2 linked regions of the Drosophila melanogaster genome follow. The protein of the gene in region 1 interacts with the protein of each later gene in a pairwise test. Each region holds a gene or a part of one and is shown in the gene's direction. Other genes may lie near its edges.

What was found.
Region 2: the proteins of slbo (region 1) and trbl interact in a two-hybrid assay, tested with the Drosophila melanogaster proteins (2 studies listed by BioGRID).

What each region holds. Positions count from the first base shown.
Region 1 is NT_033778.4:24,330,984-24,336,283, reverse strand, and holds slbo (slow border cells), read left to right. Parts: upstream 1-1,976; 5' UTR 1,977-2,513; coding exon 2,514-3,863; 3' UTR 3,864-4,762; downstream 4,763-5,300. UniProt on the Drosophila melanogaster protein: Required for the expression of gene products mediating border cell migration. Among the DNA sequences that this protein binds with high affinity is a conserved site within the promoter of its gene.
Region 2 is NT_037436.4:20,395,648-20,403,538, reverse strand, and holds trbl (tribbles), read left to right. Parts: upstream 1-1,929; 5' UTR 1,930-2,283; coding exon 2,284-3,113; intron 3,114-6,063; coding exon 6,064-6,688; 3' UTR 6,689-7,251; downstream 7,252-7,891. UniProt on the Drosophila melanogaster protein: Adapter protein that negatively regulates different signaling pathways to coordinate cell differentiation, proliferation, migration and growth.

The sequences.
Region 1 (5,300 bases):
TTGTTGGCCAAAGGGCTGGTATTTATAGCCAGTCCACCTACTTGCTAATTTGAAGTGTTTTTTTTTTAAATTTATTTTAAAAAATTTATGCTTTCAAGTTTTTATAAATAGGTAACTTTAGGTAAGCCTTGGACGATTCCAGTTAGCAGGAGGATAAGCAAATAAATAAATGACTTTGCTTTGCTTTAATCCCATTTAACCAGTAGTTTCTCCATAAACAATCTGATAAGATAAGGTGCACATGGATCGATCTTGCCTCATTTAAATTGCAGATTTCATCACCTTTCCCATCGATCGATATGGAATCAGTTCTTGGGTAACCAGACCGCACAATGCAATCCCCCAAGAACAATAAGGGTGCGTTGAATGCGTTTTGAAATACACCCGACCAGAAGAATATCTTTGTGGACGCACAAGGAAGCACTTTTGCACAATCTCGATGCAGTCATCGATATCGGCGATATTTCCGATTCGCTGCAATAGCTTGACTGATAAGCGAAGAAAAGTGGCTGTCCTGTCATCGACAGCGGAATACCCTCTTATCGTGCAACGGCGCACGGGGCGTATGATTAATAAAGTCCGGGTAAACAAAAGGTACATACACGAAGGCAGAAGACGGGGGCGAGAGGCGGGGCCGAAAGCAGGGGACGCACCTTCGGAAAGTAAACGACAACTTGACCCAAATTGCAGACTCGAAAACTCAGGAGAGTCAGCAGAGTGAGCAGAGTTAGCGGAGTGAGCACCAAGCAGAAGAGCGCCAATGGGGGAAAAGTGGAGAAGGCGACTTCACAAATCGCTGCATTTAAATAAACAAAACTACGAGCCGTGCTAATTTTTATGAATTTCATAACACAGTCTTAATTTTAATAAGACGTCGCTGCCTATTACGTGAAAGCTCCGCGATGCGTTGCGCTTCCACTGCGCAGTCACGCATGCGCGCCAAAAACAGGCCCCAATCCCCAAGCCCCCAATCCCCCGATCCACCAAGTAACTGCACTTCTGTGTTTTTTTTTGCTTTTCTGTATTTCTAAGGCGCAAAGCGAGTCGAAGCCCAAACACAAATCGGAGTGGGCAAGGCCCCAAAATGGGGGTCGGGGGTTACGCAGCGGAGTGCCGGTGTGTGCGGGCGTGGTGTTGTTGCTTCTCGCTGCGGCTGTGCGGCTCTTCTCCCAAAAAAAGCAAAAGCGACGGAACCGAAAATGAAAATGAAAACGAAAGCGAGAGCCAAGGAATAATGAGCGCTGGCTGCGCTGCCGACGTCGCGCGCTGCTGGTGTCTGTGCTCGCTTGAGCTTGTGTGGGTGCCTTGGGGCTCCCTTTTGTGTGACGTCACGCGATCGTGCGTTGCATTGAGTTTTATCATGAAATTCACTGCATCAGCGCATAACTAATACTGGATTCTAGGATGGGGTCTTAATTAAACAATTAATATCTAAACTAATATCTAAACTAACTTATGTGGAACATGTATAAATGTAATAAATTCTATATAAAAAATGTAATTATCCTATCAAATATGATATTAAGTTCCGGAAACTGAAGAAGTATCTCCCAGCTTCGTACCAAATGCACTTTGCTTGCATTCGTGCTTTTGGCCCGCACAGCAACCACAAGAATGGCCCAGTGAATTGCCTTGCGACGAGAGTAAAAGTGATTGGGAAAACTCTTGCTTTTTTACCTGATCGCGGCTCTCGCTCTCATCCACAGGTAGTTGCCTTTGCCTTTGCCTGGCTTACTTGTGCTTTGCCTGCTCTTGCTTTGCTTTTGCTCTGCTCGTGCTGTGCTGTGCTGCTGCCGCCTTTGCTTTGCTGTAACGGCGACGGCGACGGCAACGCTTGGGGCTTCGGTGTGGAGCGGTACGAGTGAATGTGTGTGTGTGTGTGTGTTACATGCGCTGGCCGCTCATTTTCTTTTTCTTCGGCTGCGTCGCTGCGCCAAAGACTTTTTCACTTTGCCGCGTTCGCGTTCGCGTTTTGTCACAGTTACAATTTACCACTCGTCGGCGACGGACGCGCGCTCTCCGCTGGCCAAGAAAATCCAAATCGAAGAAAAGCTCGCTCAGCTAACGGTTCTTCAGGAGCGTTTCTAACACCAGCACACGTACGTGTACGAGTACGAGAGTACTAGCCAACGGCAGTCGTCAGGCCGTCTCGTATAAAATCTGTTGCATCACTGCCGCGGCACTTCAGTCGTTCGAACGCGTGCGGCCGGAGAAGTGCAGTGTCGAGTTAACAAAGTAAACAAACTGAATAAAACATTTTGCGCTAAGAATCGGAAACATAATAAGCAATAGTACGATGCTCGGCTGCAGTGACCACCCAGGCAGCCTAAGATGAAGCATACGGAATAGCGAGCTATCCGAGTCGAACATTTCCAAAGACCCACTTCTTACCTCAGTGCAATGCTTTAGGCGCCAAACGAGCAAAAGTTTATTCCCAAATCTGAACTCTAAAAACAGCCAAAATTAACGCTCTACAAGGAATCAAGATTCTACCCTCCTTCGCGCAACTGAAAATGCTGAACATGGAGTCGCCGCAGATGTACGCCGATGCCGTTCAGACATTGGCCCAGCTGGACCTCAAGAAGGAGCCTCCCCTGCAGCAGGCCACCATTGGCCAGATCACACTGACGGCCATGTCCACGGCGCAGCAGCAGCAGCAACAACAGCAGCAGCAACAGCAGCAGCAACAGCAGCAGCAACAACAGCAGCAGCAGCAACCCCAGCAGCAGACTACCGATGCGAACAACAACACGTCGCAGGACGCGGCACTCCTGGTCAAGCAGCACGCCATGCACCAGATGCAACAGGTCGCCGCATTGGGCAGCAACAACAACCTGCTGCAGAAGCAGATGCTGCAGCAGTACTCCACTCAGACGGACCTGGACGAGCTGACCACCCAGGAGATCACGCTCGACCTGCAGCACCTGATAGACGACCAGTTCAGGGACACGGAAACGCTGGGCATCTTCAGCGACATGGTGACCAGTCCGGGCGGACTCTCGGCCACCCTGCCGCCGAGCGGAATGGTCTCGGCGGCGGCGAAGGTCCTGCAGCAGCAGACCCTGCGGAACCAGCACGGCTACGGGGGCAGGGGAGGCGGTGGCGGAGCAGGAGGCGCCCTGGCCTACATGCCGCAGCCCGTGCACGCCACCTACAACAATTCCAGCGACGAGAACAGCTCCGTGGGCTCCGACTCCAGCACGATCAAGGAGGAGCCCATCGACCCCGAGTACAGGCGGCACCTGCAGGAGGCGGCTAGCCAGCAGGCCGCCTTCATGGGCAATGGAGCAGGCCTGTACAACGGCTACGGATCGGGGGCGAATGGCTTGACCGGGGGCGGAAACCCACTCAACGGAGGCAACACCACGCCCAGCAGCAACGGGAGCAACGGCAGCACGGGCAGCAGCAACGGCAGCCAGTTCACCAACCTGACGACGGCCAACGTCCTGGCGCACCACAACCTGCCCCACCTGGCGGCCGCAGCAGGAGCACACAATCTGCTCAAGCAGCACAGCAAGCTGCACGCGCAGCAGCAGCATCAGCAGCACCAGCAACAGCAGCAGCACCGCAAGCACAGCAACAAGCATGTGGACAAGGGCACGGATGAGTACCGCAGGCGGCGGGAGCGGAACAACATAGCGGTGCGCAAGAGCCGGGAGAAGGCTAAGGTGCGCTCCCGCGAGGTGGAGGAGCGCGTGAAGAGCCTGCTCAAGGAGAAGGACGCCCTCATTCGGCAGCTTGGTGAGATGACCAACGAGCTGCAGCTACACAAGCAGATCTACATGCAGCTAATGAACCACGCCAATCCCGAAGTGAGCCGCGTCTGCCGCAGCTTCCTCAACACCAACGAACACTCGCTGTAGCCGCTGCCAGCTAAAGCCAGTGTCCTGCGAGTTCTGTGTGTGCGTGAGTGCTTGAATGCTTGAGTGCTCGTGTGTGTGTGTGTATGAGTGTGTGAGTGCTCCAGCCGTAAGTGTGTGCGTGTGAGCGAGACTCTGCTAAATCAAAGATACAAATGCTGTGTGGGTAGCTCGTAAGGTTCATTCTCCTCCTGCTCCTCATTGTCCTCTCTGGCCGTAGACGATGGAGCGGTCGCGCCAAGTTGGTGGGCCGCTGCATCGCTTGGAGACCAAACTCTTCTGCCGATCGCTGTGGCATTCCTTGTACATTTACTCTGTCCCCATTTCTTGTTATCACTGTAAAGCATATTTTTGTACTTAATTCTAATTCTTAACGACTGTAACATATATATTTCGCACGTTTTTATACATAATCTTATACATTATATCTATCATAAAGTTAAGCCAAAGAAAAATGTTAAAAATATTAATGTAAAAAAGAATAACACGCAGGAACGAAGAACGAAAATACAAACTTCAAAACCTATTAACTATTTATACATCTAATTCAAATGTGTACAGTTCTCGACGGTGTGCGGCTTCGCTCTATGCTTGATGCCACGCCCACTCCCACGCCCAGCCCTGCTTGACACACAACATTAGCAAATCTCTAGTTCGTAAGTCGGAGAATCAAGCATCGCTTTACCTGCACAATCCCCAGAGGAAAGCCTCCCGAAATCAACCAACTTGTAGCGAATTCCACGGGTTCGCTTCCGAGAGCGTAGAAGATATGAATGCTATTAATTGTAAGGCAAACGCAATGTTCTCATTTTAATTTATATATTCGTAAATTAAATATACACAAACAAAGAAAACTGTAAAGCAAATCTAAACAAATTAAATAAAATTTACCTTATACAAAGAATCGGCTTGTCGTGCGTTTTGACTAAAACCCAAATGAATTTCAGATAACTTCTTAATTTCCACAGTTCAACTACCAATCTGCAATTAGCCCTAGCCACAATTTGATGCAAAAGCCCTGCCAAAAAGTGTCTAATTAAATGTCGGCCATACTTGGGCGACAAAACGATACGCTGGGCGAAGACCAGAAAGAGACGCACCACCACCGCATTGGGAGGGCAGGGTCTTTCTTCTGTCCGCCGTCTTCTGTCTTCGCTGTCTTCGCTGTCTTCCGATGGGACAAATACGACAAGGCAATGCATTTCGGGCTGCCAGGCGCGACACTGGGCCAATTGCAGGGAGGAAGGAGGGCGAAGTGGAGGACCCCAGACAATCGCAAGGCGGCCGTGTTGACACAATTTGACAGTAAGACAAACCCGAAACGAAAAGCAAATTTATAAACGACAAAGCGAAAAAGAATTAATGCAACTCGAGAAACCGACAAATTAACGCGCCAGAGAAAGCCCAAACAAAAGCCACAGAGCCACGGAGCCAGAGAGC
Region 2 (7,891 bases), on another chromosome or scaffold:
GAAACATTAATTGCTTGCAAATAAGTATGTCGTATGCAAATAAAATATTTTTCAAATTCAATTTGATGTCGCCACCCCTATAATTTCCCCCCTTTTCGGTTGCATTGGTGTCACGGTACCAGTATAATTCTCGTTTCAATCTTCCTTTCGAGAAACAGATGCAAGACTTTGGAAAAGGGACGGGCGAAAAGAGAGGTTTGTTGGTGTTATTTGTTCTGTTCGCGATTTTCGCATTCGTATTTATCGGCTACTTCGTGGGAAGAAGAAGCAAAGACGGACGTTGCGTTTCAAAAAGAGCGTTACAATATGAAGAATTCAATCGAAGAGATCGGTGAAAACCAATGGACGAAATACAAGCCTGCATAAACAGTTGCGGTGAAAATATTAGTATTCAAAATCCCAGTATCCCAGAATGAAAAAATTCAAAACTAAATGAGTTATATCTAACCTACAATTGTACCAATTCTATCAACGATTTTAAAAATACATTTTTCAGGTCTTTTAGTCCAACAATTCGGTCTTAAAAATTATATTTAAAGACCCTCATTTCCAATTACTAAAGATTCGATTGCGATAGTTCCTATTATTGTGACCGCGAATGTGCTCCTGTGTATCCTCAGACGGATGTCTTTAGTGGGAAATCACCTTGCGCCAGCTGCAACTGCAACTGCATCGCATGTACAGCCCTGCACCGATGCACTATATCTGCCATATAGTGCTTAGGGGTGGAATAGTGCAGCTGACATATGTATGTAGGAATCTACCTGCGACATAATGCCGCTCGGTGGTTCTTACCTGCTCCTTGAGGATCTCGGATAACTGCCTTCTGTTGCTGTCGTAATTCCTGCGTAGCCCAGTGATCCTCGTTTCGGACAGCTGCAAAAATCATGAAATCGTCTGCACCGCGAGGTAAACAGCAAGGTAAATCCACATACACACACACAAATGAGTAATGATCTCGCACAGGAAAAAATTCAATGATCGATTTGGATCCAAGAGATTGAAGCGTTATTTGAAGATTCGAGTTTGGGAGCATTTATTTAAATTCTAGGATTTACTAGAACTATGTTTGTACATCTGAAATGTCCATCTGTGGTCATATACTTAGGGATATAAGAGATCTTAATCTGGAGTATTAAGAAGACAAATTTCTTAATTTTAAATTTGTATGTATATTAGGATATTAAAATGTTTTATGTTTTATGTTTTTTTATAATAATAGTAGTTTGCAAAGCAACTACTCAAAAACTGCACATCATCATTGAATTTGGTTTAAAAATTTCGTAACTATGGGAAAACAAATAATTTCAACCAAACTTGTAAAATATTACCTTATCAGAGCAGGAGAAAACCTTAAGTATCCAAGCCAAGAAACCACAAAAGATATTTTCGAGTTATAGAGATGGTTATACGGGTGTTTCTGCCTTCGATATCCGTACCCGTACTCAATAAAACAAAATCGAAGTTCAAGCTGACTGTACTTTCATTAATTTGATCTTAAAACTGTGGATTTTATCAGTTTACTAACCCCCTCTAATTAACTTATCGCCACGATTTATTGGTGCGCAGATTACTACGTAAAATCGTAGAAGAAAAGTTTAAGGGTTGCTGTGGGTATAGTGTTCATACAGCTACGTATTTCGAATTCAGTTGGAATCGGAATTTCAGCGTTCAGCGCAATTTTTTCAAAAATAACGATGCTCTTGTTCTTTCTCTCTCTCCCAACCATTTGGATTTCAAAAAATAACGACGCTCTCTGGTCTCCCACTTCTCTTTCCATTCCGACCGCATTGAGCTAAATTCCTGCAACGGGTGTGAGCGAGGCAGAGAAGGATCGGTGCAGTGAGAGCGAGCAAGAGGGTGCGAAAGAGAGCCGTTGTATTTCGCCGTTCTCTTCGCTTCGTGCTTCTTCCGACCGCGTGGATGGTCACATTTGAAATTCAAACTGCGGAGAAGACGGTCGCGTTCGTTTCGTTTCGCGAGTTCAGTGAGCAGCGTCCGATTTGTTTTAAAATCGCCGCATTTCGTCAGTACCCGCATTGCAAATGGCCAAACTACCGAAGTAGTAGTAGCCCTGAGTTTAAACGAGAGTTTAAATCGAATTTAATCGGAGACTAAACGGCGCGTCGCTAAATGTCAAAACAATTAACAGCCAAGTACAGCCAGGCTAAAGCGGAGTAACAAAATTAGTAAGAAGAAGCATTAGCAGAGAATAAGACGAAGAAAACGTAGCGAGAGCAAGAACTGTGATAAAGTTAAGTGAAGTGGTAAACACAAGCAAGCATGGATAACAGTAGCGGTCAAAACAGCAGAACGGCTTCGTCAGCGTCCACAAGCAAAATAGTCAACTATTCGTCACCAGTCTCGCCAGGAGTCGCAGCCGCCACCTCCTCATCCTCATCATCCAGCAGCAGCGGCATGAGTAGCAGCCAGGAGGACACCGTACTGGGATTATTTACGCCCAAAAAGGAGTTCCCCAATGCCAAGATGCTGCAGACCATCAGGGAGAAGCTAATGACGCCCGGCGGAGCCTGTGACCTTCTGGCCCTGGGCATCGCAGCGGAACCCACAGACCAGCAGCCCGTCAAGCTCATCCAACAGCGTTATCTGATCAGCGCACAGCCTAGTCACATATCGGCCGCCGTGGCTGCCAAGACTCCCGCCTCGTATCGCCACTTGGTCGATCTAACCGCCTCCAATCTGCGCTGCGTGGACATCTTCACCGGGGAGCAGTTCCTCTGCCGTATTGTAAACGAACCGTTGCATAAGGTGCAACGAGCCTACTTTCAGCTGCAGCAGCACGACGAGGAGCTACGCCGGAGCACCATCTATGGCCATCCACTGATCCGACCCGTGCACGATATCATACCGCTTACCAAGGATCGCACCTACATCCTCATTGCGCCCGTGCCCCAGGAGAGGGACTCCACGGGTGGGGTGACCGGGGTGTACGAGAACCTGCACACCTACATCCGCCACGCGAAGCGACTGTGCGAGACGGAGGCGAGGGCCATATTCCACCAGATCTGTCAGACTGTTCAGGTGTGCCACCGCAACGGGATTATCCTCAGGGACCTCAAGCTCAAGCGGTTCTACTTCATCGACGAGGCCAGGTGAGTTGCGTGTCCAGGTGACACCTTCGAAAAACCCATATACACCAATATACGCCACATATGCCTGACTTATACCAACTCAATTGCATATGGCTGGCTAGTCGGTTTATTTTGCAATTCGATGGAAACTCGTTATGAGCGAGAGATCTTGTTTGTGGTCGTGTGTTGGTGGTGCCACAATTGTTGCTCTTGTTATTGGCCCATGTTGTTGTAGTTGCTGCTGCTGCTGCTGTTGTTGCTTTTGTTTTTGTTGCTGGCGCCGTCGTTGTGGGTAACATTGAACATTTAACAAGTGTTGCAATCGAATCACCAATAGGCCAACAACAACAATTATACTGACAAACCGAATGAACGCAAGGCGTACGTATGTACAGCACAGGGTATAATGGTAGTTTCAAACTAATTTTATAAGTAAAAATATATTCCTACTATGCGAAGCATTGCAAAAATGAATGGGAATAAGATCAAAAATGTTAAATAATTTCAAAGATAAGTTTTTGAAATACACCTATTATTAAACTATTAATTAACATGGTGTATTAGCTTTGTAGCTAAAGAATTATTATTTATGTAATATCATTGAATTGCCATTCAGTGAGCAAGCATATGCCTTATTTTGCAGACCCCGACTGTATCTCTGTGTACATACTCGTACACAAGGGCCCAATGTGCCACACTGATGGCCAAAATGTTGGCTCACTCGTTTTTTCATTACACATTTCGGAAGCTAGAAATTGCCACATTTCAAGAATTGTTCAACATAGCATTTGCAATATGGTTTTGGGGTGGGGATCTGTGGGCCACGTACTCGGCGTTCGCTTGATTTGTCGATTTCCCGTGTGTGAGTTTACAGTGGATGATGAAATATTGACCCCACCTTCATCGAAAATGTATTTTCGCATATGTTAATTAACACAACTGTATCGAAAACGCGCTGTCTCCCGTTCTTATTATCTTCGAAATTGTACTGACATCAGCATGGAACGACTTGAACATTTGGTCGATTTCGTATGACTCTGCAATTAGCGCAATATCTGCTGATTTTTTCGTCATTTCGTCGTTCTGTGCCAAGTGCAAAACGGCGGAAGGAAGAAACCAACCCATAGATCTCTATCTATACTATACTTCTCTCACCTTGGCGAGAAATAAACAACAAGTGTTCAATACGACTCAAATGCGCTGCGATTACTGGCGCTCACTTCCATTCCCATTTCCATTCGAATAATACATCGCTATATAGATAAGTGCTCGCTGGGTGTACATACATACTATATGGGCTATGGGCGTGGCCATATCCATATCTACATATGTCCAACGGGGCGGCCACACACACGCACAACCAAATAACGAGCCGAATTTTTAAGGTCACAGTGCGGTGAATGTCCCTGACTCTGATCTTCTGTATTTGAACGCATTTATGTACATGCATATATGCCAGTGCCTCCCATATACAAATGCGTATGCTTATGCATGTAAAAATCTCTGGTTCATACTTTTATTTTGTCTACTCTTTTGCCGTACGTAAATACTTCCAAGGTGTTTGAGCATTTATGCGGCGCCGGTTTTCCGTATTTCGTTTCGATTCCGATTTTATTTTAACCTCTGTCGCGGGTTAATGTGTGCCAAACGTATAGAGCGAGAGAGAGAGAGAGAGGGAAAGAAGAGATCCACAAGACGCTCTTCAAAGCTCGGTTATGTCGCGCATCGAGGTCAGCAGCTGTAACTATTCTCCTCATCACATCTCCACCTGCCTTCCGTGCACTCAAAAATATAAATATTGGTTCACATAAAACCTTGATCTTAAAAGTATAATTATATATGCTTGCCTTGATCTTAAATATAAGTTTATAATGTTTCTGTATCGAATGGGGTAACTAGACGATAGAGGACACAAAAATCAAATGAAACCCGAAAACAAATGTATAGAAACATGCTCTTAATTAAGAACCGTGTTCTTTGAATATATTATTTAAATGCGCTATCTCTTTTCCCTCTTATTGATTGCCCACCTGTTGCTATCAAGTTGAAGGTAATTTGTTTCTTTCAGTGTACACTGTGATTTGTGCCGAGGAGAGGCGCGTTTTCAAAGCTTGTTTTTGTTCAGGGTCAGCTCGAGGTTTTTTTGGCCTGCTTTGTGTTTGGCTCTTTGGATGTTTGGATACCAGACCGCGGCGACCGTGTGTTTGTATATCGCTCCGTTCGCTATCGGCGGAATACCCAATGTTGGTAGTGGTGCTCGGGTCCCAGCAGAAGCGCCGTTGCAGCAACAAGTTGCGATACGTCACTCCACCTCACCTTACTACTCACGCAGCTCACACAGCGGACTCTCTTTGGATCTATGCGCTGTGCTCGCTGGCGTTTTCGTTACTTTTTTGCTTTTTGCATTCGAATGTGGGCCAATGTCAATGGAGTGGAGTGGCCCAATGGAGGGGGAGTGGAGTGGAGTGCAGGGGCGGAGGCGGCGGCGGCGGCGGCACTCGCTCATGGGTGTCGGGGGTCGCAAGCTGCGCTTTCGTCACCAATCCAAGTCAACTCAGCTCAGCTCACAATGTGCTCTCTCGGCCAATTTGCCTTTTGACTTGTCAATACGCCAACGCCAAAGACAACTACAACTGAAACTGAAGCTCCGTGGCCGATCGATTCAAGTCTCTTCGATATTGCGCTAGCTAATGGCCCCACAAAATCGGGGGTTATGCAAGTCCCAGGGATTGCACATGATGTAGAGCTCGACGATGGGTCTGATGAACGGGTACAGTTGCGATCAGAATAGTGGCAGTGCCAACTCAAGTTGCAGTCATATCTACTCTTCTTTGGCAACAATAGTTCTCAACATATTAATAGAAACGGGTAAAAAAAAGACTGTTAGTTTTATTTCTAAGAAGCATAAACATATATTTTGTACCCTATTTTGGCGGATTATTTATTCGATTTTGTCATTTGCTAATTACAGAACGAAACTGCAGTATGAATCACTGGAAGGCTCAATGATCCTCGACGGCGAGGACGATACTCTGAGCGACAAGATCGGTTGCCCACTGTACACCGCTCCAGAACTGCTGTGCCCCCAGCAAACGTACAAGGGCAAACCGGCGGACATGTGGTCGCTGGGCGTGATCCTGTACACCATGTTGGTGGGTCAGTACCCGTTCTACGAGAAGGCCAACTGCAACCTCATCACCGTCATACGCCACGGGAATGTCCAGATACCCCTGACGCTGTCTAAGTCGGTGCGATGGCTGTTGCTTTCGCTGCTGCGGAAGGATTACACGGAACGAATGACCGCCAGCCACATCTTCCTTACCCCGTGGCTGCGAGAGCAGCGCCCCTTCCACATGTACCTGCCAGTCGACGTGGAGGTGGCCGAGGACTGGAGCGATGCGGAGGAGGACGAAGGCACTGCCGCCGATGCGATGGATGATGACGAGGAAGGACTCTGTCCCTTGGGTGACAAGCACGAGTACGAGGACATTGGCGTGGAGCCATTGGACTACACGCGCTCCACGCTCCAAATGGCTCAGAATGCCAATGGGCTGTCCACGGAACCCGAACCCGATACGGATGTGGACATGGGCTGATTGGAGCTCGTGGAGTCACCCACGGGTTGCATTCTGGGACACGCTGGCGCGTTGGCTGCATCCGGCTGAATGCCGACTGATTAGCCGCCGGGACTGGGCATATCGGATGATATGACACTGTGGACATCCTGGCCTTCCGGGTCGCGCCGACTCCGACTGCGTTCCACGTCGTCTTCCTGCAGGTGGTACTGCCAACAAAGACTTAAAGCTTAGACACACAAGAACTCACTGCCTTCCAATCGCGCTGCAGCCCCGATTCGATTCGTTCAAGAATCACGCCGCTCCGCAGCCTCCTCTCTGCAACCGATTCTTCCTAAAACCTACCTATGTACAATACATTTAACATTTTAATTTTTTTGCAAACTGTTGATCTTATCAAAGGACAGTCGCCCTGATTTGCTTTTGGGCTTTAAAACACATTAGTTTCCATGTTAAAAAATGCAACGAATGCAAATTGTTATTTATTATTTAATACTTCTGTATTACGCTTTGTGTACTCTTAAAATCTTGTAAGTGAAAATTGCAAAAAAGAACATAATACATTGAAATTTGATCTCACCAAGAATAATTCGAATTTGTTTCTTTAGGGCTCTGGGGTAAAAAACGCTGTTTTTATTTATTGACACAAGATTGTAAATATTTATAAATGTGTAATTAGTCAACCAGACTATGAGCTTAACATGAAGATTCTAGATTCTCAAGAAGCGGAAGGCTACAAAAGATGAAAACAATGAGTCAGGGGAAAATACGATTTTTTGGTTCTAGATGCGTCATATTGTGTACTAGTAAAATTCAACATTTGATTAAGATCAGATAATGTTTGGTCAAAAATATGAAAACAAAACTGTCCAATCTATTTTCTTCATGAAGGAGATTAATGAATAGTTCACGTCACAAAATCGAGAATTCTCTCGAGTGTCGAAAGTCAACAAATTAGTTATTGTTGTTGCTGAGATTCCCATTACCGAGCAGCAGATTCCCAACCTGATAATGCAACCCAGTGACTGGAAGTTATCAGGTGGGCGAACGTGACTTTGGCTACGGAAATATTTGCGACTTTGCTCCACAATAGCAGTAAACTAATATTGTGAATAGCTGCTGAATGCGGAGGTCCCACCACTGTCATCTGATGTGCCGACGTGACGGGGACTTTCGCATGTATACCACCTACATATACTCGTGTACGTAAGACCCCCGATTTTT